Tamandua tetradactyla: one gene and its partners. The protein of the gene in region 1 interacts with the protein of each later gene in a biochemical or structural test. Links are inferred from orthologs where the notes say so. Each region holds a gene or a part of one and is shown in the gene's direction. Other genes may lie near its edges.

Region 1 (7,408 bases):
AGAAAACAACTACCCTAATGGATTCTTGGGTCTTGGAATAGTATATTCAGTGACAGCATCATTTATAGATTCAAAAGGTGCTGTATTTCAAATTAATAGTGACGATGACATATTTGCGAACACTGCATGAGGGAACTAAGGCGCTAGGGATGTCAGTGACACGTGACAATCAGACGGTGAGAGGCAGAAATGCAAGTGAAGGGTTTGAATCAACTTTTGCAAAAACGTGAGTGGAAAAACAGTTTCTGAATTAAATTAGTTCAACAAATATGTGATTTTATGTACATGAAACTAAATAAATATTATAAGTAGAGAGTTTATTTTTTCGTCTTCATCCCTAAAAATTTAAATTCAAATGTTTGGCCTTTTGTTTTCTTTTAATCTTCTCATTGGGAAAAGGAGGAAATAACGTGATAATTTAGCCATATGGTGATTCCGTCCCAAAGCCCCAGCCATAAGGTCACACACCAAGTAATAGGGCTTAAGCCCGAAATACCCACTGCCTGCATCCTCCTCTTCCACTCCCCCAGTAGAGCTGAGCCCAGGCCTCTGGGTTGAGCTGGGAATTGGTTCCAGGTTACTGGTAGGGTGGGTTGGGGTGGGGGAAGGTGCCAGGGGGAGGGAGAGCTGCTAACTGGGCAGGCCTCTGGGCTTCCTGGTAAAAACAAAATATCTGGGATTTGGAGGACTGGGCAGCTTACAAACTGACACACGATGCTACGACCCTGTCCGTGTTTACCTCCCCAAGCCTCTGTGTCTTCATCTGTGAAGTGGAAATCATGGAAGACCTCCCTGATAGGGTCTCTGTAAGAGTTAATTAAGGCACCTCACACGGTGGCCTGTGCTTTGTGCAATCGTGGGGCCAGGGCCAGACTTCCCAGGACCCGAGAACAAGGAAATAAGCCTTCCAGATCCCAGAAGACAACAATGGGGGTCCCTCAGCAATCCAGTTGCCCATATGCACACCCTGACACCCTTCAGCCTAGGGGCCTGGGTTATGGCCCCAGGGGCAGTTCATTCCTGAATCATACCAAAACTTCCTCGTCTTCCCTCTTTCTCTGCAGCCTCTGTTCTCCCCCGTCACTCCCATCATTACCCTTGTCATGCTGTCTTGTCGCCTTCAATGGGTTTCTCCCAGCAGGCCAAGGAGTTCTCACTGTCACTGTGTACCTGACCCGGGTACACAGGTGCCCAGCCACCTGAGCAGCCTGACCCGGGTACACAGGTGCCCAGCTGCCCGACCTGCCCAACCTGGGTACACAGGTGCCCAGACGCCCTAGCAGCCCGACCTGGGTACACAGGTGCCCAGCCACAGTAGCACTAGCAAGGCACTGCTGGCCTTGCCCAGCAGGTGGCAGCAGTTCCCAACATCAGGACTCCAGTTCGCAAAGATCCCAACCTGCCCTCTGCCCGCCCTTACAGTCTTTTGGAGGGAAACCCCAAAGTACACCCAGAGGCTCTGAGAGCTCCTCAAAGCCCAGGCTTCCCCCACCCCCACAGTGCTCCTTTATAGACACACGGCTCATCCAGGCACCCGCGCGTGTATTCATTCTCCACAAACACGCTTTCTGGGCCAGCCATGGGGAATCAACAGGAAAATCAACCCGGTCCCTGCCTTTAATTGTTCCTGTCTAATAAGGGGACAGACACCTACAGAGACTATATCCATGCAATAATGCCATGCCCAGGATAAGCCTCGGTCATTGTGGGACCACACGTGCTCAGGCTCAATTTCCTGGAGGACCATGGGGTGGGGGGAGGGACCCAGAAGGAGAGTGCTCCAGGCCCGGGGGTGGGGGGGGAAGGAGGAGGGCAGGGCATGTGCAAAGGCCCCAGAGGAGGGTGCGATGCTGGGGAAAGAACTGCAGGTGGGGATTAGACCCGGTCACAGGGTGGGAAGGAAGGAAGGAAGGCAGTCTCCAAGAGGTGAGGCGGGGCCAGATGGCAAAGGACAGACATGGGAAGCGCAGGATCTTCTCCCCAGGGCAATGAGACACCTCACTACCCGAAGGAAGCCGGAGGGGTAGGAGGGGTTAGGGGCGGGCAGAACACCTATATTGGGGGCTTACAGATGCCCTGATGACTGGAGAAGGGCAGGGCTTTGCAGAGCACTTGTCCAGACTGAGGAACCATTGCTTGTCCAGTTCAAAGAAGTGAGGATAGGGGGTGATGGATGTTACGGAGACCACTTGGTTCCCACTGGGAGTAATCCCTGCCCCTGTCTCTGTCTTTGTTCACATCCTCTACCCAGAATACCTTTGCACCCCTTCTGCCCCATATGCCTCCATGGCTCGTGCCTTCGCCTTCACTTTACCACTCAAATGCCGCCTTCTCAGCAATGCCCTCTCTGACTGTCTGATTTAACAATTGTTTTAAACAATTTTAAACAAATTTAAACAACACACACCTGGCACCCTCATCACTTCTTTCCTACTTTATCTTCTCCAGAGCATATATTATCACCATCATATATTGTCTTGATTAGCTTATCACCTCTTATCTATTACTGTGTAAAGGACTTTTGTCTTTCTCGTTTGCTGCCATGTCGGCACATAGCAGAGGCTCAATAAGTACTTTACAAACTTCCGACCCTCCATTGCCTCCCCCTTGTCTGCACCATAACGTTCAACTTTCAAGGCCTCCCTTGCTGGCCTCGCCTCCTGCCTTGGCTTGCAGGGCAGCCCCAGCATGCTCCTGAGGATCTCCAAATGGGCTCAGTGCTGCCCCCTAGTGTCCATGGACATCTTTTTCCTCTGTCCTGGAGGCCTATACCTTCCTCCCTCAACACTCAGCTCAAATGTGTCACCCTTTGGGAAGCCGCCCTGGCTGCACCCAGCACTCATCACACTAAACTGAAACCAGGTCTGTCTCTTCAGCTGCACTGGAGGCAACTCGAAAACAGAACAGCAGTCCAAGAGCATCGTTACCCAGGTAACATTTGATGAATGAATAAATAATTGAATGAAGGCATATCAGACCAGCAGGGCACACATTTGTTATGCATCCTACTATTTAATACACATCTAAATGGCTGGTGCTCTGCATGACATGGGAACTTTGAGGGCAGCTGTGTCTCCCCTTCCTTCCCTTTCTCTATAGGTCCAGGCACTGGGCTCTGGGGGTGCATCCATGACCCACCCCACTGAATCACCCCTGGATCAGGGATCAGGTGGCATCTTCCCTGCCATGTGCTCCCATACCCCTGGAGGGGCCCTCCTACAAGGAGGGGCCTGGCTTCTCACTATCAACTGAGGGCATGGCAGTGCCTGCTCCGTGGGGCACTTTATGGTGAGTTCTGAACAGCTGGAATGGGTGTGGCCACCTCCCAAGCCAGGCCACATCTCAGCCAGTCTCAGGCCAGGTTTTCCAGGAAAGGAGGGAGGGCTGGAACTGTATCCTCCAGGCTGCCTGCCAGCCAGCTAACCTGTGCCCACAGTCTGGGAGGAGTGCCAAGCCCAGGCACGCTGGACAGCAGGGGGCTGGCCTGGCTCCAGAGCAACACCTTGGCAGCCCTGGGGAAGGGAAGGAGGAAGCCTTGGCTTAAGGTAAAAAAGGTCTGGTCCAGGGCAAAGAGGGAACAGCTGGTGGGAGGTGGGGGAGCTGTGTGGCTGTTGTCTCAACAACATGCTGGCAGGGACCTGAAAGGGAGCTCCTGCTACTTACTAGCCCTACAGCATGCATCCCCTTGCACAAACCATCAGGATCCCTCTGTTAGTGCCAGACGGATCTGGGCCCCAGGCTAGGGACAGTTTAGCTTCCAGATAGGAAATGGGACCTCAGGCCTGGGGCTGGGGCTCAGGGTCGAGGATGCAGCGAAAGGGAGAGATTTCAGGTGTCTCTTCCCCAAAGCTAGAGGGCTTGCTGCAGCCTGCTGAGAGTGGAAATCAAAGGAAAAGGACTGGTCACCCAGCATTAGATCCCTGAACTGAGAAATCCTGGGGAAAGAGAGGGACAGAGAGTGAGCCTGGGTAAGAAGATGCGGGAAATGTGGGAAGGTGAGGGTTCAGCGGATGGTTTGGGGGAGAACAGAGCGGGAGGTGCTGGACGTCCGGAGGCAATAAAATCAAGGCCAGGTCTGGGGGTATCAGCCTCCAGCAGATCCCGGGGGGGATGTGATTCAGGGTCAAGAGAGAGGGGTGCTGAGGGACAGAGGAGAAAGCCGGGGCTCTGGGGTCTGACCCCAGGCAGGGATCACGCAGGGCACCAGGTCCCAGGGCTTCGACCCCGGTCGGAGGTGGGGCGGGGAGCCCGCCTCCCCGGCGAGGGCGCGAATCCGGGGCCGCCGGGCGCCGGGCCGGGGCTGGGCGGGGCCGGGCTGGGGGCTGGGCCGGGGTCCCGGGGGGCCGGGGCGGGGCTGGGGCTGGCGCTGCGCAGCCGCGGGGCGGCCGCCGCGCATGCGGGGCTCACAAGGCTGCAGCCGGCGCCGCGGCCGCCACTCCCGGGAGCATGAAGGACCGAACCCAGGAGCTCCGCACGGTGAGTCCGGCCCCGCGCGCGGCCGCTCGCCGCCGGCGCCCAGCGCTCCGGGTACCCCCCGCCCGGCCCCAGCGCGGCAGCCCCTGCGGCCCCCGGCGGGCGGCAGGGAGCGGGGCGGAGCCGGGGACCCCGACCCCTGCCTGGGGTCCGCCCCTTGGCCCCCCTGGGCGGGCGGGCTCGCGTGAGCTCGGCCCCGTTGGCCTGTGAACTGGAGGTCCGGGGCGGGGTCAGGATAAACTTTTCGGCGACCCCTTGTGCGCTTTTGTTGGGGTGGGTCAGAGGGCGATTATCGCGTTTGGGTGGCGGGACGCGAGCCGGCGGAACCGGTCCCGTCTTCATCGCCCCGCGGTCCCTCGTCTCTGTCCCTCCCCTGTCCCCTGTGGCACGGACAGACGGCGGCGCCGCGGGGGGAACGGGCCGGGGGCGGCCGCCTGCCCAGAGCCCCGGCGCGGGGCGCGCTGCGGGGACGCGGCCGTCGGGTGGGGGCGGGCCCGTGTGACGGGAGCTGTCACCTGTGGCTCCCATCACCTGTGGCTCCCCGCGCGCTCGCCGTCCCCTGCCCGCCCCGGGGCCACCTTGCTGGCTTCCGGGCCGCCCGGGCCGGCGTTTCCAGGTCCTTCCGAGGTTCGCTGGTCTGATTCCGACCCGCATCTATTTTTCCACCTGTGTCGGAGGCCCCTGGGGTGTGGCTCCCGGGGCGGGGTTTAGGGGGGATAGGAGGTTGCACGACGGTTCGGCGTCAAAGACCCTCATCACCATCCTCTTCCCCCGACTCCTCTTCACTATTGCCCTTCCCCTGGCCACTGCCATTTCCCAGGACGTTGACGCTCCCCCAAGCCCCGCCCCCGCCCCCACACGCCCTTAGTGTTGCCCAGGCTGGGGGGCGGTGACCGGGAAGGAAATGCAGCCCACCTGTGTGCTGAGGGGCGCGCGTGGTGGGGAGCAGTGAAATCAGGGCTCTGACCAGGGCGGGTCTCACCCCAGTCTTGGCTGACCACCCCGCTGGCAGGCCCCGCCCACAGTCTCTGGGGGCACCCTAGCTCAGTGGCTCTCCAGGACCCTCTCTGGCTCCCTAACTTGAAGCCAGAGTCCTAGGTCCTCTCATGTGGAAAGTTTCAAGTGTCCCTTGGGCTTTTGACCCCAGGGCTTGACCCCTCAGCCCAGAGACTCCTGAGTGTACGTCTGGGTCTCCCAATTATACTGTCATGTTTCCGGTGCTGCCGGGAGCTGGACCCCATCCCTCTCCAACCTGGTTATTCCTGGCTCCCTGCCCAGCCCCTGGGGCGTCTGGGGAAACCCCGTGAGGTTCAGAAGGAAGAAGATGGTCTCTTAACACTTCCCCTGCCGGCACTTGTGGTTGCCCTCAAGTTTCCTGTGCTGGGCGGAGTCGGAAAGAATGCTGGCTCAGTGGGGAGTGGCTGGGTGATGGATGGGCTGCTGTTGGGGCGCCTGGGGGGTCAGATGAGAGCATGGACGGGAAGCCAGTGGCGAGAGGAACCCAGTCAGCCCCTCACACCTGACCAGGGCCTCTGACTCTACCGAGGGGAAATGGATGCCTAAAGGAAAATGGGCTTGCCTGGTACATGAAGATGGGTGGTAGAAAGGGGCTTTGCTAAGTCCCTGAAGAAGGTCAGACTTCGGCTTGAACTGGACTGAGGGAGCCCCCAAAGAGCCCGGGTTGGGAGGGGCTTGAACCCAGGTCTTCTGGCTCTGGTGTGTGTCTCTGGATCCACCCTTTACCACCAGCACCCATCACACTCACACAAGCGCACATCCTAGCCCCGGGGCTCCCTCAGACCACAAGGCCTGGCTTCTCGGAATCCTCTTAGGGTTCCTCTCTGGCCACCCCTACATGGAGCATTCGGAGCCCATACTCCCTGTTGGGTGGCACTACCCATGGAGGTTTTCTAGCAGTCTAGAGGGTCAGCTGGGAGGAGCCCATGCTGGGTGCGGGAGAATGGTCAGTGGGGGTGGGGGTGGGGTAGGTAGGGGTGGAGGCAGCTCCATTCCAGCAAGTCTCTTTCCTTCTGGGGCTCAGGTTCCCATCCATGAAGTGGAGACAGGAAAACCGAGAACACCACATCTCAGGGCGAGAGCCAGTGGTCACGAGTCTCCTGTCTCTGACTCTGAATTTGGGGGAGACCTTGAACCCCAGGAGTCAGCATGTCAAGCACGGAATCCCTGAGACTCAAAAGGCTGAAGCAGGCTGTGCTAGATAGAGGTAGTGATCAGGACAGTGGCTGCCCCCCCGCCACCACCACCTCCTTCTTCTTTCTCTTTCTCTCCCACCCATCGCCACCACATTTGGAAGGAAGGCGAAGGGAGCTTATTTATAAAAGTCACACTTGGGGAAGGAGCTGGCATGTTTCCTCAGAGCTCTGCAGGCCAGGCCCAGCCCTCCAGCCTCCTCCAGCCCCCACCACTCCTGGTGCTCCTGGTGCTGCTGCTTCCCGTTCTGCAGATGGAGCGTGCAGGGGATTGGTAGGGCCCCAGCAGGCCAGCCTGGGGTTGCATCAGCAATATAGACAGGCTCTCAGGGGTCAGCAAGAGAGGTAGAAGGTTTCCTACCTTCAGGGAGCAGGTAGGAAACTGAGGACAGAAATGGGTCCAGGCCACAAAGCTAGGGAAAGACAGGGTGTCTTCTTAAGGCAGGGTTTCATGCAGCTGCCTCCTCCCCCATCTCAGAGCCCTCTCGGGTTGCCATTCTGGGCACTTCTGGAACTGACCCACTCCTCCCTGAGACAGTGTTTTCTAAATGCTGGGAATGTAGGGCCTGTGGGACCTGTTGAAGGGACTCAGAGGAAGAACGTAGGAAGGTAGGAAGCTCAACCTGGTAGCCTTCCCAGAAGAGGATTAGGGATGGTGGAGGGAGGGTGATCCAAAGAAGTGCCCAGCATGAGAAAAGGCAGAGAGGCTGGAATGCTCAACCAAG
Region 2 (7,509 bases), on another chromosome or scaffold:
AGCTCTAAAATCATTTTTAAAAATAAGCATGTAATCCTAGCTATTTAAGAAAGTAAATTCTGAAATTATTTTAATGCAGCCACCCTCTCTTTGTGTGGTTCTGCTATGCAAATTTCAATCACTACAATTTAGTTAAATAAGTCCAGTGCCCTAAGCCTGGTTCAGGGAGCACAGTTTACTAACTGAGTAATTAACTGCACAAAGTTCAAACTTTGCTGCTAGCTCCTCAGTCCACAAATCAAATTTTAAGGAGTTACTTGAAAAGAAACTCTAACCCACGGGTAAAACTTCAGCAACATTCTCAAAATGTTTGTAATGATATTTAAATCGTAAAATAAAACGCTGAAATTAAAGACACTGGGGACGCTATTCCTTCCCTCAACAGCGCAGAGGCTGGTGGCCCTCCGCAGGAACTGCACCCACCCGCGCCGTGGCAGCTCCGCACGGACTTCCCGCACCGGGTAGGCCGGGAGCCAGGGAAGCTCGCGCGGCCGCGCTGGGGGTCGCGCCCCTGGGCCCCCTCCTCCCTGAGCACCCTCATAACCGGCTGATTGCGGAGCCGCCGCGCCCACGGCCAGGAGTACACCCCGCGGGCACCCAGGGGCGCTCAGGCCCAACCTCGCTTCTTCTCCTCCTCGGACACCCCACTCGGCAGCAGCCAACCCTCCCGGCCCCCACTAAAGTGCGCCCCCGTCCGCAGCTGGCCCAAGCACCCACGGGGGCTGGGCCACTGCAGGGCAAGGCGAGGGGAGACCGCCAGCATGCCTCCACCTCTTCTCACCAAGTCCTGCTGCAGGGATGGTCCGATGGCCAGAATCAGAGCCGTCCAGAGAGTCCCCACAGAGACACAGTGGGGCAGGCTGCACAGGAGTTGCGCCTGCACTGTGGGCGTGAGGGCCCCGGCTCGCCCCTCACACCGGCACTCCTGGCCTTGGAAGCACCCAGCAAACGCCCACTCCAGCCCCACCTTTGCGGACCCCACCTCTCTCCCCCTAATTCGCATCTCTGTGATTCAATCCCAATGGCCCCAAAGAGGACCCCTTGGGCTTGCCTTTTTTTAGACCGCGCTGACCCAGAGTGGGCCAGAAACAGGGTCCCTGATTCAAACACAGGTGTCAGGCAGGGGTGGGGGCCCCTTCCGCAAAGGGGGCGCCAACTAGGCAGACGGAGTGATGGACATTTCTACTGCAACTTGCAAGTGACCGAAGCTGGATATTCAGTTAAATTGTATAGGGAATCAATTATTGCCATGCATACCCTTTGCGACTAAAAAATAAAATTAAGTGGATAAAAATAATGCTAGGAGAGCATATGAGGTATATTTGGTCAACTTTCAAGAAAGTTTTAGCCCATAACACAATTTCTCATTAAAATGTTTGTTTCTATTTTATTCCTTTCCGTCGGCCCCAGCTGGCCTATGAAACCAATGCCGGAGCCTTCCTTAAGCCTTTAAACCAGAGACTGAGGATTGCCAGATTCAGGAACGTAAACGAATCCCGGTCTTCGGTCTTCCATCACTAAATATTTAGTGGGGTCCCTTTTTGTGTGTGTGTATTCTGTTTTCTCTTTCTGATTTACGTTTTTATTTTCCGTTCACTAACTATTATTTAGAGCCAACCGTGACTCGGCTAAACGCAGCACAACTATCTACAACTTGTTAGTGGCTTACTGTACCACACCATCTCTAGCTATACTAAGTAAGTGAGGAAAAATGACATTTGGGTGAATGCCATGAACCCAAACAAAGAACGCTAATTAATTGCTTGGAATGAAGACATTAAGTAAAAGAAAACAGAGCAAAAAATAAAAATAAATAAAACCTTGCTGAGAGGCCAAGAGCCCTAGGCTTTGTCACCTGCCAGATTTGCAGGACAATCCAGACCCCCCACCCGCCCCACCCCCCGTTAATAGGTGTAAACTGGGCAAGTTCCATGCTTTGTCTGTTGGCCAAATTCTTCATTAGTAAAATGAGGATATACTACCTTCTTCTAGTTCTGTGATGATAAACTGGGAGGGAAAAAAGATCTACCATTTGCAGCACATTCCTTAGTACTCTATGGATACCGAAAAATGTCAGTTTTTCATTCTGCAGTCAGGGTCCTTCAGTGGACAGAGCCTTCAAGGAGCCAGTGCCCCTTTTTTTGACTTCAGACTTTTGTTGTTTCTGTATCACATCCCTCTCATCAGGCAAATCTATTCTGTCATTCCCAAACTCTGGTTCCTAGAGGACAAGTAGGATTTAAGACGAACGGGGAGCATGTCTGCCAGTGCAGGTAAGCTCTTGTGGACTTGCTACCCACTCTGTCCCAGCTCAGGCTAACAAAGACCTATGTAGAAATCCAGTGAGATCGAAAAGAAAGGGGCACACAGTGGTAAAATAATGGGTCCTCAAATTCAATGCATTTTTTTCTAAGTCATTTTCAAAAGTGCCTTTTCCAAAGAGCCTTATAATACAATGATAACAAAATATCCAACAACTTATTTCAAACCAGATGAAAAAATCCTGTGGGAAAGTGCTCTCTTTGGCCATTTCCCCTATGTGGGCATTTGTATGAAAAACTCTCCAGGTGAATTCCGACAGTCCTCCTCTCCTCTTCACCTGGCCAAGTCCATCTCTCCTGGACCCCAGAATGGCCGAGCAGCAGCAGCATTCCCTGGAGTCCCTCCAGGCTTCCCAGGCAGTGGGGAGTGGTGCCCTCAGCCCCCTCCTGCACTACCCACCACTGAACTCACTGCAGTGCAACGAGCATGTAAGCAGGAGAGTCATCCCCTTAGACTGCCACAAGCTTGCAGAAAGCCGGGATGGCATTTCTGTGTCTTTAGTACCCAGTACAATGCCTTTCACGCAATAAAAATGTGTGAACTGAATTATTCAGCAAAAAGTTCAGAGCCACTTAGAAATAGTTGAGGAAAGCCCTGTTTCTTAAAAAAAAAAAAAAAAACAAAACTTCTATTGTTTGCTGCACAAAGCGAATAGTTTAGTTCAGTAAACATTAAACTACAAAACGAGGCCATAGATTCCAAGTAGAGGACATGGTCTCTGCATGGAGAACCCACGAAGTGGGGAGCTTCCCCCAGCCCACAGGGTGATGTGGCGGTTTCTGGCCTACTGCTGGGGTCAGGGCCACCACCAAGGTACCAGAAGGGAGGCTGGTGCTTTGGGCCTTCCTTGTCCCCGCCACATCTCCGAATGAGAATCCATCTTCTGCTTCCTGATCCCCAGCCCTTCCTGGCCACAGCCTCTCCCCTCAGCCACCTCCTCACATCGGGGCACCCCATCAATCTGCCTTCCTGACCTCGGGCCCGGCGTGGTCTCTCAGAGTCCCAGGAAACCGGGCGGCGGGGGGCAGAACCAACCTCACCCCACTGCCGTCTCCTTCCTGTGTGGGGGACTACCTGCGTCCCTCGGTGGGTGAGCCCATCCCAGGCGCGCCTACCACAAACCTCCAGTGCCCACCCACCAGGTCCCTGCCCACGCGGCGAGGGGATGGGCTAGGGTCTCCGGTGGAGCATCCATCCCCGCCCACCCCGCGTGGGGACGGGTTGGGGTGGGGGGTCCCTGGCCGGCAGACCCCGCCCTTAGGGGTGACCTCGGGGAGCGAATCCAGCAGCACCTGTGTGGCCGACTTTAATTTTACCCCTAGAGGCAGCCTCAGGTTTTTTCTGGGCTTATCTCCTTCCCCAGAGACTTCCTCTGTCATCCTCGTGGCACTGGCGTGGCCGTCGCCTGAACGCCCTTCCCAGACCCTCGCACGACGCGTGGCCCGCAGACCCCGGGCGCCGAACCGTAGGCGCACCTGCCCAGGTGGGAGCGCACCTGCCCAAGGGGCAGGCTGACGTCAGGGCGATGCGCTGCTCGCTGCCCAGCACTCTGTACCCTCCCAGCTGCAGGAGAAGCCACGGCACAGTCGGGCCACGCAACCCGGGCGGGCGAGCGGAGCCGCCGTGGCGGATTTTCGCAGACGGAGGGACGTCAGGGATCGCCAACGCGAGGAGGAGAGGTAGCCGCGGTGCGCACGCGCACACCTGGTTGTCGGCGCCACGCTCGGAGACGAGCAGCGCGCACGCGCACGTCCAAGTTCGCGCCGCCGGGTCCTCGCGGTGCGCTTGCGCACGCCCGACTGCAAGCTCAGCGGGTGCGACCAAGCTGCGCCTGCGCACGCCGGGAGGCCTGCGGGGGTCGCGCCGCGCCTGCGCACACCGGCCGCCTTGCTCTGCTGAGGCCCCGCTGCCGCCCCCTGGCGCCGTGGGCGGGTCGCGGCTCGGCAGGCGTTGGCGCCGGGTGCTGGTCTTCAGGGAGCCGCGGCGGTCCAGTCAGCGGCGGGGCGGCCTGGCCCGGGGTCCCGGGCGCTTGCGTGGGGCCGAGCGGCCGCGACTGAGAGTGGAGGCCGGACAGGGAGCCGGAGCGGGAGCGGCGGGCCCGGGCCATGGGCGCGCGGGCGGCGGAGGCGGCGCGGGGCCCGCCCGCGGCCAGGTGAGCGGGCAGCCGGGCGCGGGGCCGCCGTCGCAGCGTTTCCTGTGCGGATCCCGCGCGCGCCCTGGGGCCGCTGGAACCCTCGGGAGGGGGCTTCGCCGAGACCATGAGGAAATTCAACATCAGGAAAGTGCTGGACGGCCTGACCGCCGGATCGTCCTCGGCCGCGCAGCCGCCGCCGCCTGCGCCACCCGGCAGCCGCGAGCCGGAGATCGCAGAGACGCTGCAGGCGGAGCACTTCCAGCTCTGCAAGGTGAGCCGGGGCCCGCGCGCGGTGACAGAGCGCCGGGGAGGGGGGCGCGGGGCAGCGGGCGCGGGTGGGGGAGCACCCGGCAGGGCGTCGCGCTGGGCGGGCGGCAGGGTGCGGGGCACGGGGAGTAGCGCGCGCGGGTGGTGAGGCTCCGGGCCTGGGAGTGGGGCGGTGGGCGCGGGAGCGGGGCGGTAGGTGCAGGGAGCGGGGCGGTGGGTGCAGGGAGCGGGTTGCCGGGTGCGGGAGTGGGGCGGTGGGCGCGGGAGTGAGGCTCCGGGCGCGGGAGTGGGGCTGTGGGCGCGGGAGCGGGGCGGTGGGTGCAGGGAGCGGGGCGATGGGCGCGGGAGTGGGGCGGTGGGCGCGGGAGCGGGGCGGTAGGTGCAGGGAGCGGGGCGGTGGGCGCGGGAGCGGGGCGATGGGCGCGGGAGTGAGGCTCCGGGCCTGGGAGTGGGGCGGTGGGCGCGGGAGTGAGGCTCCGGGCCTGGGAGTGGGGCGGTGGGCGCGGGAGCGGGGCGGTAGGTGCAGGGATCGGGGCGGTGGGTGCAGGGAGCGGGGCGATGGGCGCGGGAGTGGGGCGATGGGCACGGGAGTGGGGCGGTGGGCGCGGCAGTGAGGCTCCGGGCCTGGGAGTGGGGCGGTGGGTGCAGGGAGGGGGGCGCCGGGTGGTGGACTGGGGCGCCGGGCGCGGGAGTGGGGCGGCGGAGCGGGTTCAGGGAGCGGGGCGCCGGGGGCAGGGAGTGGGGCAACGGGCGCAGGGCGCGGGAGCGGGGCTCAGGCCTGGGAAGGGGGCTTCTGGCGGGGCCGCAGGGTTAGGGTCCTTGGTACAGGGCCCTGACCCCGCCAGCGTGGCCTGGAAACCTTCTGTGCAAGCGTTTTTGGCTTAACCCGCTGGCTTTGGTTTCCTTTGGAAACGCTGTCTGATGGACATCGCTAATCCAAAAGCCAAACCTGTCCAACTGGATGTTAGATCGTGGCTTTTCTCCCAAAATATGCACTGAGTGGCTGAAAATAGGAAATTGCATTATGTTCGATTAAGAAGTTAGTAACTGTGATTTTTGCCTGTTAATGGCACGGTAATTGCCTTTGCATTCTGTAGTTCAGAAAGAATGATGCAGCGAATTAACTTGCCAGCTGCTCGAGGAAAAATTCACGTTCGTCTATTAATATTTGTCTTCCCCATGCATTGTACCCTGAGTTTCTTAAAAGTGTCTCCTTAAACTTTTTGCCTCAATCTCCAGAAATGTGGACTTAATAGGAAAATGTGAAAATTGCAAAATCTTGGAGTAGAGATTGCTTTCTAGAATTCTGCAAGAAAGTAATTATATGACAGCTTTTCCTTAGTATTTGCATTTAGTATCCAAATGAAGTAATGATGATCACGTTTGAGACAAAGCATGAATCACAGTTTAAAATGAATTTACAGAATTTTTTGGTCACTGTGAACCTCAGTAATTTGTTCTCAGATGTAATATAGAATACTAGTGAGACATGGTTTTCTGTGGAATACAGTGTTATGGAAATGCAGAAGTTAAAGTGTATAAAACTGGTATAGAAATTTGGTCAAATAGCTTTTGTTTGTTAATGTTGTAGATTTCAGGGTTTTTGTGTTGTTTTTTTTTAACAGCATCTGGTGCGTATCAATTATAGTTGGTTCTAATTCTAATACCTCATTGCTTTTCTGTTTCTCTCTTTCTTCACTGCTTGGGGCTGCGGTGTCACCTGCCACCCTAGACTGTCCGCCATGGATTTCCCTACCGGCCCTCAGCCCTGGCCTTCGACCCCGTGCAGAAGATTTTGGCCGTGGGGACTCAGCTCGGTGCTCTTCGGCTGTATCCTTTGTGGGCTTCGGCAGGGCTGGTGAGCTGACGAGGCCCGTGCTGCCTGGAATCCATGGCATTGGCCTTTCCCGTAGTTATACTCTCCCACCTCTCAGCAGCGGTCTTGCATTCTGCCATAGTTAGCTACTTCCTTTGTGAGGTGCTAGAAGGTTCTGCGGGTCTGTGAAGAGGTACACGAAGGATGAGGTTAAAAGACATCAGCGTGGCATGTGTTTTAGTTGCTTTTTTGAAATGTTGCACGTGGGAGATGTTAAACTTATGACCCGTTTATTATTCTAGTGAATTCGAGGTTGAATTTGAATTCGGTTGTTTCTGACTTACCATCTAAGAAAAATCATTAGCAGACAAACGTAGCAAATAAACTTCATATAAATTCTTATGAAAAGTTGACATTTCTAGGGTGGGCAATGGTGGTGCAGTGGCAGAGTTCTTGACTGCCATGCTGGAGACCCGGGTTCGTTTCCTGGTGCCTGCCCATGCAAAAAGAAAAGTTGACATTTCTAGAAGTTTTAGAGCATTCTGTTTTCAAGTGCATATGGATAAATACAGTCTCTTGATGTATTTTCCCTTTTACAGTCTACATTTATTACCCATATGTAAAAACGATTATGTTACCTGTATTTTATTAGTGTCGAGAGAATTATTTTTCCAAGGCATCCATGGACTCTAGTAGTTTTGTTGTAAGCTTTTTTCAAATACCTATTCATTTTTCAAGATTATGTTTTTTAGTTTGTACGTTGGAAAATATTTCTCACTTTCTCTTTTAAACTGTTTAGCTTGAAATAAAAATTAAGCCTTTGCTTTTATTACAGTGTTTAACCATAATTAACCTAAATGTCCTTATTTTTAAACTTAAATGCAGTAATATTTTAAAAACAAATGATTTGTTCATCCACCCTGAAGTAATATGTCTGCTTCCTAAGTATTATTCATATTGTGGAGGTAAC
Region 3 (6,873 bases), on another chromosome or scaffold:
ATCAAAACAGTTAGACACATCCTTACTTCATCTAATGTAGAATGTTTGTTTCTACTTTGCTTTAAAAACCCTGAGATGCTTCAAAACGCACACATAATCAATGTGTTAAAAATCTTTGGTTCTTTACACAAGGCCATGTGTTTCCAAAAACATTTTCCAAAATTCATATTTCAGTAAAATGAAACTAGCAAATCTAGGAAAACTCTGACAAAAGGATGCTTACAATTTACTCCTCTTTTAAATTGTTATTTATCTGTCTATTTGGAAGAGAGTCAGAGTATGGGAGAATAAATAAAATTCTGGGAATAATGGTAAAACCTATTGCATATCCTTGAGTTTTCTCCTTATACTTTTGTTCCAAACCCTCCATATTAACTACATTTTACATGTAATTTTCTCTAAAATTAGATTGTAACAATCAATGGGTATTAGTTGGAGGACTATAAAAGAGGACACACACTATTTTAGCAAAATTGCATATTGATTCAAAAGTGTTTTGGAAAAACTTTATGTGAATTATGTCTTAAAATAATCCAAGAATTCATAGCAAGTATAGAATTGAAAGTAAAAGTAATGCCACAAATTTATTTGCATTATTAAAGTAGTTTAGTCAAGGGCACTAATTTAAAAGTCAAATTGTCTTCTGTTCATGATTAAGTTTCTCTAAAATTACTACAACTGAATATTTATTAAATGGTAAATCATGGGGAAAAAAAACATCTAGCAAGTATCTTTAACTGAAGCCTCCTATCATTTTTAAATCCCATTAGCTAACTCTTAACTGTAATGCAGCTTGCTTCTCAGCAGAACCGCTTAGAGTATCTAACTTTGTGTAACAGCAAAATGATAGCTTTGTTATCATACAGCCTGAAAGTTACCACTTAACTCTAGGTAGGTGAGCCTGAGAAACTTATCAGACTCTCAGAGACTTCATCTAAAATGTGCTGCAAAAAGCCACCTTCCATTACAAGATCTCATTAATTTTTTGCGACATACTTGAGTGTATCTGGCACATATGGAGTAGGTGTTAAATAAATCTGAATACTGCCTTCCACTGTTTCATTCACAACCAAAGTGAAAGGTCTAAAACAAATTTTAAGATTTCCCATGGGGCTTAGAACAGTACTAGGCTCTTAGTAAGTGCTCAAAGTTATCTGTGGTTTGAATAATTCATCATTATTATTATCATGGTGAATGATGTAATAAGTTTAAAAAAAAACTTTCCTTAACTGGTAATGCAGTCCCAAATTTATAAGGGCCATGGAAAACTGACTCCACAACAGGATATATTTTTATTCTAAAAATGACTAAAGTGAGTAGAAGGAGGAGGAAGGTAAAAAGCATTTCCTTAACTATAATTATGTTACTGAAATTCATACGAAATATTAAACTGACACATAGTAAGCATCCCTTAATTAGTAACTAATAGTAAGACACATTGGAGAGAAGACGAAAGGAGGAAAAAGGAGGTTGTCAGTCACAAGAGGTCGAAAGATGTCCCTGGCCTGTGACCCACAGGCCTTTAAGCACAAGGGTCTATGAGCTCCCTGCCCCACTGGAAACCGAAGGAGGTCAACGGCCTTCCCCAAAGGTCAAAGCTCTGGAGCCACCTTTCCAGCTAGGGCTGGGAGCAGAACCTAAACGCCCCCACGAGAATCCGTTCCCCTAAACCAGAAGCACCGCCAGCTATAATCCGAGCTGGTGCTGGGAGATGGGACTAGTTATCCCCGCGCCGCAACATGCACCAGCAGAGACATCGCCGCGTCCTGCAACCCCACAGCCCTGCTAAGGGGAACAGTAGGACCCTCGAGCTCTGATTCGCATCAACGCGGTTCGGTACCTTCATACTCACACTCACGGCCGACCTCTCTTACTCCATCGCACCGCCGAGACCCCGGGGAGGGAGCTCCCTCACGCCCCAGACCCCCAGCTTCTGTTTTGGGTCCGGCGGCCCACTCCCGACCGGCTCCCCCCCGGGCACCGCCGCCGCCAGCGCGCAGGCGCACAACACAGCCGTCGCGCTCCTTTTTTTTTTCTCTCTCTCTCTTTGCCGTCCGCCATTCTCAATAATCTAACTTTATTAGAACCCAGAAGTGAACAATGCACACAGGGGTAGAGGGTTTATTCTGAAAGAATGGAAGACCAAAGATGGTTGGGTTTGCAGGAGCTGCACTGGATCCGACTGTGACTAGCCTCCTTGGTCCCTTTTTCACTCTCTGTTGTATTTTCAGGCCTCCTTGCTCCTACTCTCTTCTTAAATACTCCACGGTTCCCTTTTGACAATGACAACTGTTTCAGCTAACTTTCTAATTCCTTGTAATATTTAATAAAGCTTAACGAAAGTGTTACCAAACACAGGCCATGGATCCTTGTGCCCCACACGCTCAAATGACCCATTCCTGAGACACCCGGGTTTCAAAGAGAGAAAAAGTGTATAACTAGACACAGCAGATCAGATGGCCTACGGCTCCAAAAGCTGTCTTCCCAAACTGCAATAATTTTGATAGTTTTATTGTAGCAAAAGATGGGCAGGTTTTAGGATAATGAGCACAGTGGTCCCAGCTGATGTGATTAGAAGTGATCAGATTATTGAGCATGTGCAGGCGGATTACATACTTAGCCACAGAATTTATGTAAGAAAATGGTGGCTTTATTATGATGATGTGCATGATTTTTAGTATAATGAGGTATAGGGGAACTTTATAGCTTAAAATCTAAGCTACTCTGCATGTCAGGTGGGCCCATTTTGGTTAGATCCAGTTTAGGTTATCAAGATAACTGGACTTGGGGCGGGCTAGTTTTGGGCTGACCCAGGACCCTTCATTAATAAATATTAGGGGCTGTCTTTAGTGATCATAAACTTTAAAGTTGAAAAACTGGATAAATGGTACAAGTGAAGTTTAGTCACAAGGTTTCTCTCTCTCTCTCTCTTTTTTTTTTTTTTTTCTTTTTGCATGGGCAGGCACCAGAATCAAACCCCGGTCTCTGGCATGGCAGGCAATAAGTCTGCCTGCTGTGCCACCATGGCCCGCCCTGTTACAAGGTTTTTACAATCACAGGTGCAGAAGAGAAAGGCTATATAATCATTATCAGAGATTCAGGCAGTTGGATTACAATTCAAAGATTTCAGGTATTTCCCTCTGACCATTCTAATACACCAGAAAGCAAAAGGGAACATCTATACAGCTATAATTCAGTAATTAAAATCATCTCTTAAATCTCAATTTCTCAGTTACAGAAGTTGCCTCAGAACTTTAGACAGACCTCAGCTCAAATCTTAACCTAGCTATAGTAATTTGCAACTTTGGACAAATTCCAAGTTTCTTTGGACCCTCCATTCCCTCAGAGTTAAAATTAGGTTGATGGTGTTGCTAGGATTAAAAGAGGTAACAGGGAGGACCAGGTGGCTCAGCAGGCAGAGTTCTTGCCTGCCATGCCCGAGACCTGGGTTCAATTCCTGGTGCTTGCCTGCGCAAAAAAAAAAAAAAGAGGTAACATAGGTCAAGTATCTATTCATGCATCAAGCAAACCAACAACTATATTATTATTCATAACAAGTAATTTTATTTATTAAAAATCTTAGCCCCTACCCATTCCCTCAGGACTCTATTTTAGTGATAAATATTAGTCAAATAAACCAAGTTACGTTAAGGCTGGTGATGGCGTAATGTGTCCCTCCTCTTACATTATTGAAATAACATCTCTTTTTAACAAGACCTTTAGTGCCTCAAATCAAAATAAGCAGCTACCTCCTTCATCTATATGTGAAGGCAAAGTTGCTTCTAGAAGTTTAGAAAACTTCCAATTCTGTATTTGTGACATCACAAGTCCTTAAAACACTTGAAAGTTGGGGTGTGCTGCTCATTCTACTCTCCTTTAAAGACAAGCAATGAAAAAACAGCTTAACCCAATAATCTCAGGGCTATAGTCCAAGGATAAACCTATAGAAGATTAAGGTCAGATATTGGTAAGCACCAAGGTAACCCTACATCAGGGTTTCTCAACCTTGGCACTATTGACATTTTTTTGACCAGATAAGTGTTTGTCATGAGGGAGTGTATGGTGTATTAGGATGTTTAGCAGCATCCCTGGCTACTCGATGCTAGTAGCAGCTCCCCACTTCTCCAAGTTATGACAATCAGATAGGTCTCTAGAAGTTGCCACATGTTTCCTGGGGGCAAATCACCTCCAGATGAGAACCATTTCCCTAGACAAAAGTAAAAATGTTCCTTACAGAAAGGGAAGCTAGTGTTCCGTCCCTACCTCAAGGTGATTAGGTTTTTGCTGCTTGGGTTACCATAATGTATAGATTATGACTGAAATGGAAATCAAATTCACTAAAATCTTAAGAGTTTTAAGATCTGGCATAACATTAAATTGTAGACCAGTCAAGTCTCCAGAGTTTCCTAATTTTAAAATTCAACATTTTTTGCCTGAAAATCTTTTTCATGCCCCACCCACCCCGGGGAAGTGGGTGGGGGTGAGGGTGGGTGGCAGATTTGAAGGAGAGAAGAAATCTATGTAAGGATGATTCTCAGGCTGTTTTTTTTTTCTGCCACTAATTCATTTCAGTGAAAGAATACACATTTATCTCTACCTTGCCATCATTCTGGATAACTTCCACCTCCGTGTGGACATGTAATCCAACAATAAAATCTCTTAACTCCTTAAACTCAACCTAATCTACTACTCTATGCTATTTCAGCTACCCACATCCATAGCAATACCCTGGACCTTCTTATCACCTGCAATTTCTTTACCTCTAAATTCCCTAATGTAACTATCACTTTCTTTGTCCAAACACCTTCTGTCTTGCAGTTTCTTTGGCCAACCACACTCTGTGACTTTCTTTGACCTCATCAAAAACTCCTATTCATTGATTCCACACTTTTATTTCCCAATCCATCAGCCTTTTCCTGACTTCTGACTTGAATCCCATGATCTGTCATCTTTTGGCAATAACTTGAGCTCCCTTGCATGTCTGTGTTTATTCTACCACGGTTTCTCAACTTTAGCACTATTGTTATTTTGGACAGATAAATCATTGTGGGGCCTATCCTGTTTATTATGGGTGGTTCAGCAGCATTCCTGATCACTAGATGCCACCCCCCCACCCCCCACCCCCATGAGAACAACCAAAAATGTCACCAGGCATTGCCAAATATCTCCTGCTGGCAAAATTGTCCCCTGTTGAGAACCATCACATTATACAAATGCCCATCACAACCTGAAATGAACTTGACCACACAATTTTCTTCACCTCTGCCCTTAAGAAGTAGTGACTGCTTGAGAAAGCCACACCCCAGTACAGACTGGTGAGTTCATTTTAAGTTGCTTTAACTAGGCCTTCACTGCTTACCAGGCCTACTACTTTTCTCTGATCAACTTTCTCAATTTCTGCAACAAATACTTCAAATCTCTTCAATTTCCTTAATACTGCCAGCACCATCTCCTTTACTTTCAGCAGATGACCTCATCTCCTACTTCACAGAGGAAATAGAGGTCATCAGATGAAAACTTCAACTTTCTGTTTATTAAATGTACAAATTTACAAACTGCCACACAGTTCCTCTTGTTATAATTGAGGGGGTATTATCTGTCTTCCAAGTCTATTCCTCCTGCCACTGCTTTAGATTGTCTCTCTTATCTGCTCAAGTTTTTTACCATTATTGACTATCTCTTCTCTTTCTTGTTTAAGCAATCTTTTTTTCTCAGTTGGATCTTCCCCATTACGCTCAAGTTTCTTCTGTCTTAATTCTAACAAAAATGCAAAATAGAAACAAAAACACTTTGATCCTCATCTTTTAACTATCATCCCTTCTCTCTCCTCCCCATCAAGGCCAAACCTTCCAAAAGCATTCTACAACCTGCCCTCATTTCAGCATCCCCCTCTCCAACCTACTGCTATTTTAACTAAATTCAAAAGATATTTCTCAGGCTTCATCTTTCTTGATTGCTTAAGGATAGACTTGTCTCTCTTCTTTAAACACTCTTTGCTTGATTTCAATGATTGTTCCTTATTCTTAAAGGTGTTTGAAAGGATTCCTGGAGGAAGTGGCTTAAAATAATCATCTACCCAGCTTAAAATCCACCTTTCAGTAGCTCTCCATGGACATAGTATAAAGCGCAGACTTCCTAGTCAAAAAATGCAAGTCACTCCAAGATCTGGCCATTGCCTATTTTTTTTCAATGCAATTTTATTGCTATATTCACATACCATATAATCATCCAAAGTATACAATCAATGGCATACAGTACCATCATATAGTTGTGCGTTCATCACCACAATCAATTTTAGAACATTTTCATTACTCCAAAAAAAATAAAAATAAAAATAAAGAAGAAAACACAGCGGCCCATACCTTTCACCCCCCCCATTATTTATTTTTTGTCTTTATTTTCTGCCTATATACTGAATAAAGGGGAGTGTCAGTCACAAATTTCACAATCACACGGTCACACCATTAAAGCAATACAGTTAAACAATTATCAAGAATCAATTTGCCTTTTTTTTTTCAAATTAAGACCCATTTATTTGAACAGCTAACATGAAAATAGTGACAGTATCAAGTGCTGATGAGTATGTGGAAAAACTAGATTTCGAATGTTTTTGTGATGGGAATATAGAATGGTGCAGTCATTCTGGAAAATATTCCTTTTTAAAAAAATTTTTCGTAACTGTGTAAGTTTATAGTTCAACAAAATATTGTTTAGTTTTGTGGGTTTTTCAAACTTTATGCAAGGTACCATAGTTTAAGTAGCCTTCTGGGACTTGATTTTTTATTTAGTATTATGTTGCTAAGATTCTTGATGCATGTAGCCGTAGCTCATTTTTTTCTGTCCTAAAATATTTCATTGCAACATTATACAACG
Region 4 (7,981 bases), on another chromosome or scaffold:
GAGAAGATGGAGTCTCTTTCCTTAACTCCATCCTTCCCAGAGTCCTCCTGAGTGAGTCTTCTTCCACAGTTCAAATCTGATCACATTGTCACCCCTGCCCCATCCTTGCAACTGGTCCTGAAATTCTTTAACCTGGCATTCAAGGCCCTTCACAAGCTGGCCTTCTTATTTCAAACCTCTTTACTTTTGTTCATGCGTTTCCCTGCATTTGGGAATGTCTTTTCCCTCTTTTTGAGTCTGATGAACACCTATTCAACCTTCAAAACCCAGCTCAAATATCCCCTCACTTGGGTTACCTTCTGTGGCTGAAATAACTCATTCCTTCCAGGCCTATAGCGTCTTCTTGCTGCACCTCTTACAGCACTTATCACAGGGTGTTATGATTAGCTATAGGCAGAGATAGTTCTCCTTTTGGCTGTGACTTTGTCAAGGACAGGGCAGTGTCTTATTAATCCTTGCATCCTGAGCATCCAGTCCAGCTCCATGCACATAGTAGGCCATCAGGGAGTATTTACTAAGTTGAATCTTTCCTCTGTTGATTCACTGATTCCAATTCTGGAGATTAGAGTGTGGCTCAGAAGACAAAAAATGCTACTTTATAACGGAATTTCTTGAAAAAAAAACCCGTCTTGTCATCATTTCAATACATAGGACATGCTTAGAAAATATGTGTGAAATGAACGAAGGACTGGATGAGTAGTTGGGTGAAGATAGAAAACTTGTTACTTACGGTCTCCATTAAAAGTGCCCTTTCAAATGCTGCTTTGGGTGGAATTCAGTTCATGATGAGGTATTAACCAGTGTTACTGAGGAATGTGTGACCAGATTCTTTGTCTGCAAAATGTTGTCACCTGATGAGGAAGAACCAGAAGATTCTGGAGGAAAAGGCCTTGGAAAAATGCCCCAAATCACGAGGTGGTGAAAGGTCTTCCTTCCACCCACTCCACCTGCAGGGAGAGGACGTAAGACCAGCCCCGCCCAGGCGGTGGAGGGACGGGCTGCCTCCCTCACTGCCCCGGAGCGGTCCCAGGGTGCTGAGAAGCTCCCCCAGTGCCGCAGCGCGCGCCGACGCTCCCAGAGGGGGAAGCAACAACTTGCAGAAGAGTTGTTACTGCTTCAGAGATAGTGAACTTTCTAAAATTACAACCGGGCCACCTAGTCACGACTTCACACGTGCCCGTGCCCATGCCTGCTGTTTCACGTGACTGCGGGGAGCCACGGGTCACCCAGTGGGGTCAGGAGTTAGAATTCTAAAATGGCTATTTCCCCCTGGGATTAAGACGCGCTTCCTCAAACCACTTTGTTTGGGAGTCCTGGGTCTCTTTCACCATTTTCTCTCCATGTCCTAGATGCCTTGAACGTTTTTTTCTTACCCAGCTTTATTTATTATACAATAATTTTTTTTTAATAAACCAACCACGCAAATGTGGCAATCCCAGCTTTGAACTGGCCCAAGGCGAATGGCTAGATTACCCTGAAATGGTACAAATAGACCCCAAATCAAAGAAACATGACATTTTTATTAACTGGTGTTCTCTAGGACAGTTGAAAGATTGCTTTCCACTGGGGTTTTTGGAAAGGCTGAAAGATACCAAGGGCCCTGAACAATAAGCCTTCAATAAATGCCAGTTATTTTGTTATTATTATTATTTATTGTTATCATTATGGACTTCTGGGAAGCCAAGAATGCCAGAATGAGATTGGTGACAACGACAGTGATGACTGGCTGAGATGACACTGGTTCTTTCTTTTGGGGGCGTTGGGAGGGTGCACGGGCCAGGATTCAAACCCGGGTCTCCTGCATGGCAGGCGAGCATTCTACCACTGAACCACCCATGCGCCTTGGCTGAGGGTCCCTAAGCTCCAAACGTGCACCAGATGTTGTTTTAAATGCTCCATAACCACCCCCCGAGGGGGGTATTATTACTGCCCCCCACCCCCATTTTACAGAAGAGGACCAGAAATGCGAAGGGACCCACTGAGAGTCGGGAAGCGGGAGCGGGAGCTGAGGTCACCTTGGAAGTTGAAGGGCCTTTCTCAGCCCTGAGTCCTGAAAGGAGCATCTGTCACATGCACACATGGCATCGCGTCCTTAATGGATCCCACATCTCCTAGCGGAAATGAAGCCGGTCTTAACAAATCCTGGAACCGCAAATTAGAATGTCTTCAAGGCTCTCTCTCTCTGTCTTTTGGTCTCTGATAGTTTTCTTCCTTAGCAGACCAGCTCTGTCTGCTGTTCCAACCCCAACGTGGCACCTCAGATTTCCCCAAAGCGCTTGGGAAGATCGACCCTCTTTCGGAATCCCATGCCAGATTCCCAGGGAAGGAGCTTTGACTGGCCAATCTGGGTCAGAGACCTCTGGCCAAGGTGGTTGGGTGCCTCTGAACAGATCTGGCAGCTGGCACCTACCGGGGTAGACCCCAGGGAAATTAAGGACACGGGTCCACTTTGGCCTTCCCCTTTCCTGAGGCTGTGCTGTCCCCCGCGTGTCCCGAGACTCTCTGGTAGACCAGAGGACTGCTGCCTTCCGCTCCCTGCATTTCCTGAGGATGGGAGAGGGTCACCTGACTGAGTCCGTCCCAGGCCAGTTTCTAGATGCGCATCCCAGGCAAGCCTTTGGCCTGTGCAGAGCAAACCAAGCAGGTCGGGCTGGAGAACCGGAAGCCAGGGTGAAGTGCCCATTGCCCAAAAGTGGTGTGGTGCTCCCTGAGCTCTAGGAAGAGTTGATGGTGCTTGCTAAGGGGGAATCTACCTGCAGTCCCCAGGGCCAATGCACCTGCCAGCTGGGGACCCCTCAGAGGGCAGAACAATGGGTGGAGGTCATTTGGAGAAGGGGCCAGGGCCCCCGTCGCACACTGCCTCTGAGCATACATGGCCTGATGCTTTCTAAGTCCCAGTTTGCTCCAGGATTCTATAAGTTCAGTTTGGGTTATTTCATGAACTTGGAAAGCTTTGAACATTATGGGAATCCATACAAGCACAAAAAAACAAAAACAAAAAAGGCCTTCATTATTGAATCCCTGCTAACATCTTAGGGTATTTTTATGATGTGTCTTTTTTGACACATTATTTTACGACGCATCTTCTTATGAACAGATTTTTCTTTTCTCTTTTGCAAAAAAAAAAAAAAAATGGGATCGTATTGAATAAACTCTTTTGAATCCCGCTTTTCTGGCCCAACAAAGCAGAGCAAAGTGCCCTCTCCCGTGTTCTCACGTGGTCTTTTGCAACATTTCTGAGAGTTTGGATAGAGGTTGGAGGAAGATTTGGGTTGTGTGAGTCAGCTCCTGGGGGAGCCTGAGGAAGTGCAGCCCCTCTGCTGATTTCTTGTCTCCTTCTGATAAAATTATGGAGCAGCTACCTCAGTTTCCCTCAGGCCCATCCCCACACTGTGCCCAGGGCAGCAGGCCCTGCTTCCGCATGCCTGCAGCACCCCATGGGCCAGCACCCTGCTGTGAGGACCCACCCTTACCGCAGTTGCCCGGCTGGGGACGGTGCATGGGGCACGCGAACAGCACCAATGCAGGCAGGCTTCCTGCACCCCACCGGGGTCCCTCCAGCTCCCGCCTGCCAGCTCAACGTCCCCTCATCTTTGCTTGGCAGGTTCTCATCCAGTGACCGCAGAAGCAGGCTTGTTGGAGCCGACGTGCCACAGAGAGTCTCAGGTATTGTCAACCGCAGCAGTAATGACAGTCATTTACGGAGTTCTCTCTCTAAACCAGCCAGGTGATAAGCACTCTTAACAGACTTTAAATCCGATTTTTGTCCCAGTTCTGCAAACCGGAGAGGATTGTCCCCATTTTACAGATGGGGAAACTGAGGCTCGGCGCCATCAAGAGTGGTTATTTGGTGTCACTCTGTCGGTAAAGGCCAGATGGGATATTTGAACCCCACACGGTCTGACCCCGGTGGCATACACTGCCCTCTACCCCACACTGCCTCTGGGGCCAAAGAGATAAAAAGGAGGCAGAGTGCAGATCAAACATCTCCGGGCTGCAGAGGGTCGGAACGGGCATGCAAGCCAGCAGTCCTTCCTCAACCAAGGGCCAGGGCTGGGCTGCTGGGGTAAGAATCAGAAGAATTTCCTGTGGGGTTGGTTAAAATACAGTCAGGACTCAAATCCATGCATCTGGTATGAGACCCAGAAATATTCAAAGGACTTCCCAAATGGTCTGGAATCAACAACCAGGCCTGGAAACTGCTCATGAGAAAAGCAGCAAGAACTTACCATTTGCCAGGCACTTACTGCTCACACCAACCCAGTGTGGGAGGTACTAGTTATCACCCTCGTTTTAAAAGAGAGGATGAAAAAAAGAGAGAGAGGACGTTGGGGCACAGAGGGATTACGATTTTATTCAAAGTCACACAGCACGGGTCAGAGTGAGCGCTCCTGTATCGTTCCCACCCAACCGCCTGCAGCCGGGACCCCTCCCTGTTCAGCCCCCGGGTAAACCCTTCTGTTAAGGCCTCCAGATATGCAAACCTCCCATTTGCAGCTTCGGAGGCAAAGATGAGGAACTCTTCATATTTCTGTTTGGAAGTTTGATGGCCTCAGGTCTCTCTTCTGAGTGGGACCCATCACGGAGGGCAGGAGGTGGGCGGGCAATTACCAACAGAGCGCGCGCGCCAGCTGCGTCTGGGAAGAGACGGCACCCTCCTTCCTCCGGGAGCCGAGGGTGGGGGTGGGGGTAGGGGGGCGTGTGCGAGAACCCTCTGGAACCCATAGTTGTGTGTGTGTGTGTGTGTGTGTGTGTGTATGTGTGTGTGTGTGCGTGGGGGTATTATTTTGTTTTTGTGATTTCCGGACAAACCCAGGATGATTCCAGGGTCCCGCCCCCCTCTCCCCTGCCTGCAGCTTCACCCCGCTGTCCTCCTAGGGCCACCCTGAACCGCGAAACTGCTGTCCACCTGGACCGGGGCCGACGTTTCCCGTCCTCCCGCCAGGACCCCCGGGGCCAAAGCCCGAGACATGGCGAGCGACGGCGGCAAGGTGGCCGACGGGCAGATCTCCACCGAGGTCAGCGAGGCGCCCGTGCCCAATGACAAGCCCAAAACGCTGGTGGTGAAGGTGCAGAAGAAGGCGGAGCTCCCGGACCGCGACACGTGGAAGGGCCGCTTCGACTTCCTCATGTCCTGCGTGGGCTACGCCATAGGCCTGGGCAACGTCTGGCGCTTCCCCTACCTCTGCGGGAAAAACGGCGGCGGTGGGTGCCGGCCTCTGCCCCCCTCCCCTCCGCACCCCCACAGCTGGTCTCGGCCCCGGAGAGGAGGGTCCCACCCAGGCTTTTGCTGGGGGGCCCTTGGGTGGCGGGCGTGGGGGGAAGACTCCAAAGGGGCCGCCTGCGCCCCATTTCTTGCTTCTTGCCCTTCGGCTGGAGGATTTCCAAAGGGTGCTGGTCCTCTGCTAATGATTCTAGAACGTTCAGCTTTTCACTTTGCAAGGGGGGAAGGGGGGCATGTTTGGAGCAAAGGACTAGCCGGGTCTCAGTTTTGCAGTTGAGGCAGGGTCCAAGGGAATCCCAGATGGGGCCCCCAGAACGCCCTGGCACGGGGCTCCCTCTGGCAGGGGGTGGGGGTGGGGGGTCTCCAAAGCCTCAGGGCCACGAGCATCTCTCTCCTCTCCCCTCCCCAGGGGCCTTCCTGATCCCCTACTTCCTGACGCTCATCTTTGCGGGGGTCCCGCTCTTCCTGCTGGAATGCTCCCTGGGCCAGTACACGTCCATTGGGGGTCTGGGAGTGTGGAAGCTGGCCCCCATGTTCAAGGGTAAGTCTGCAGAGGGGACATTGGGGACACTGGCTCTTCTGCCCGCAGATCCACGGTGACGCCGGGGCCTCTGACACCTTTGACCCCTCTGGAGAGAGGGAGCCTGTTGCAACATCTCCAAGCAGAGTGGGGCCATGGCAAGGGCCAGGAGCCAGAGACACCCTCACCCCCGCCCCATCAGCCTACCCTGTCCTGTTAGCTCATTTCTCCAGCAAGGAATGGGCTTGACTTCCTCTGCTTCCCTGTTCGGTGCCCAGAACCCTGCCTGACCATGCGACTGCCTGAAGACTCAAGCTTCCAACCTGTGCTTGAGCCTCATGCCGCCGCCGGGCAGCTCCCAGACCCCCCCACCCGTCATCCAGCCTTGGCGGCGCCCCGGGTGCAAGGCCTGCCTCCATCGCTTGCAGGATGAATACGGCCTTAGGCCAGTCACTCCTAGTTGTCAGACCCAGTGCCCCAATAACGCCCAGCTCTGGAGTCCACTGAGATGGTAGACATGGTAAGAAATGGTAAAAGCTCTACATGATAGGGCAGTGTTCTAGTTTGTGAGCTGCCGGAATGTGATATACATACCAGAAATAGAACGGCTTTTAAAAAGGGGAATTTATTAAGTTGCACGTTTACAGTTCTGAGGCTGTGAAAATGTCCAGATGAGAGCAAGCCCATAGAAATGTTCATTCTAAGGCATCCAGAGAAAGATACCTTGGTTCAAGAAGGCTGATGAGGTTCAGGGTTTCTCTCTCAACCGCACATGGCGACGTCTGCTAGCTTTCTTTGCAATGGCTTCCCTGGGGCTCTGTCCATTCTGTTGGTTCTAAAGCTTTTTCCCAAAGGGTTCCCTCTTAAGGGACTCCCGTAAGCAACCCCACCTTGAATGGGTGAAGACACATCTCCATGGAAACAGCCAAAAAGTTCCCACCCAGCAGTATTGAATGAGGATTAAAGGACATGGCTTTTCTGGGGTCCACCACAGATCCAGACCAGCACAGGTGGTTATTATTTTTATTATGGTAATAATATGAGGGTGTTGCTTCCTCCGCCCAGGTGTGGGTCTCGCTGCAGCTGTGCTGTCCTTCTGGCTGAACATCTACTACATCGTCATCATCTCCTGGGCCATCTACTACCTGTACAATTCCTTCACCATGGTGAGCAGCCCCTTAGGCACCCCCCACCCCCAGGAAGGAGCCAGACCCAGAGCCCTCCTCCACACTGAGCCGAGCCCTTCCCCCGGGACAACACAGTTTGTCCTCACCCACCCTTGTCTTCCCATGACAATCACAGCCACCTTGGACTGAGCACCTACCTCAGGCCAGGCATGGAGGCAGCACTTTATTTGGGTTTCCATCTCATCCTCATGACACCCCTCCTGAATGGGGACTTTGGCCCCATTTTATGTGGACCGGGTCTGCCTCAGTTGGAATCCCCAGCTTGACAGCTGTGTGTCCTTGAGAAAGAGACTTCCCCTCTCTGAGCCTCTGTGCCCTCATTTATAAAATGGGGATAAAAATGAAAGCCACCTATTAAGGCTGTTGTGAGGACTAAGGAGTAATGATGTGCAAAGTGCATCACCGTTGTGCAAAGGATCGCACAGCGTCCTTATCTGGGGAGGGGCCCAGGATGGATGCCCGAGATGTCAGGGCAGGTTGGAAGAGTAGTTCTCGGTGCAGGGAGGTCGGGGTTCTAGTGTCAGCTCTGACACTCAGTTGGTTAGTGGTTCTGTTCATGGGCAGGTTACTTCCCTTCTCTGACCTCTAACACTGGTGTCCCAAGCCTCCTGCCTCCCAGAGCCGTTGGGAAGGGGAGATTAGATAATAGTTGCATGGGGGAACTGAGGGTACATGGGGTACACGGGATCATGTTGCCAAACCCCGGGCTCAGTGGGTTTGTCTGTGTGATGGTCCCTGGAATGATCCCCGATTCACCGTGCCGTTGCAGACTCTTCCGTGGAAGCAGTGTGACAACCCCTGGAACACAGACCGCTGCTTCTCCAACTACAGCGTCGTCAACACCACCAACATGACGAGCGCCGTGGTGGAGTTCTGGGAGTGAGTTTGAGGCCTGTCCATGGGCTGGAGGGTGGGGGCGGGTTGGCTGGTGTCTGGCAGGAGACAGAGGCACCCTCAGAAGGGCTGGATGAGGTGCGGGGAGGTTAAGGGGTCCTCAAGGGCTGGGGAGGTCCTTTCCGACCTCCAGGCCTGAAGGAGCCCAGGGGAGGG

Evidence for each region.
Region 2: the proteins of STX1A (region 1) and STXBP5 form a complex in vitro, tested with the Homo sapiens proteins (2 studies listed by BioGRID). The link is inferred for Tamandua tetradactyla from reciprocal best matches to the Homo sapiens genes STX1A and STXBP5.
Region 3: the proteins of STX1A (region 1) and SNAP23 form a complex in vitro, tested with the Homo sapiens proteins (3 studies listed by BioGRID). The link is inferred for Tamandua tetradactyla from reciprocal best matches to the Homo sapiens genes STX1A and SNAP23.
Region 4: the proteins of STX1A (region 1) and SLC6A1 form a complex in vitro, tested with the Homo sapiens proteins (2 studies listed by BioGRID). The link is inferred for Tamandua tetradactyla from reciprocal best matches to the Homo sapiens genes STX1A and SLC6A1.

Annotation. Positions count from the first base shown.
Region 1 is NC_135349.1:11,403,623-11,411,030, reverse strand, and holds the start of STX1A (syntaxin-1A), read left to right. Parts: upstream 1-4,403; 5' UTR 4,404-4,446; coding exon 4,447-4,476; intron 4,477-7,408. UniProt on the Homo sapiens protein: Plays an essential role in hormone and neurotransmitter calcium-dependent exocytosis and endocytosis.
Region 2 is NC_135351.1:45,675,724-45,683,232, forward strand, and holds the start of STXBP5 (syntaxin-binding protein 5), read left to right. Parts: upstream 1-4,494; 5' UTR 4,495-4,580; coding exon 4,581-4,727; intron 4,728-6,455; coding exon 6,456-6,553; intron 6,554-7,509. UniProt on the Homo sapiens protein: Plays a regulatory role in calcium-dependent exocytosis and neurotransmitter release. Inhibits membrane fusion between transport vesicles and the plasma membrane.
Region 3 is NC_135340.1:56,366,701-56,373,573, forward strand, and holds the start of SNAP23 (synaptosomal-associated protein 23), read left to right. Parts: upstream 1-3,868; 5' UTR 3,869-3,967; intron 3,968-6,873. UniProt on the Homo sapiens protein: Essential component of the high affinity receptor for the general membrane fusion machinery and an important regulator of transport vesicle docking and fusion.
Region 4 is NC_135335.1:38,041,954-38,049,934, reverse strand, and holds the start of SLC6A1 (sodium- and chloride-dependent GABA transporter 1), read left to right. Parts: upstream 1-4,970; coding exon 4,971-5,205; intron 5,206-5,633; coding exon 5,634-5,765; intron 5,766-6,809; coding exon 6,810-6,910; intron 6,911-7,700; coding exon 7,701-7,810; intron 7,811-7,981. UniProt on the Homo sapiens protein: Mediates transport of gamma-aminobutyric acid (GABA) together with sodium and chloride and is responsible for the reuptake of GABA from the synapse. The translocation of GABA, however, may also occur in the reverse direction leading to the release of GABA.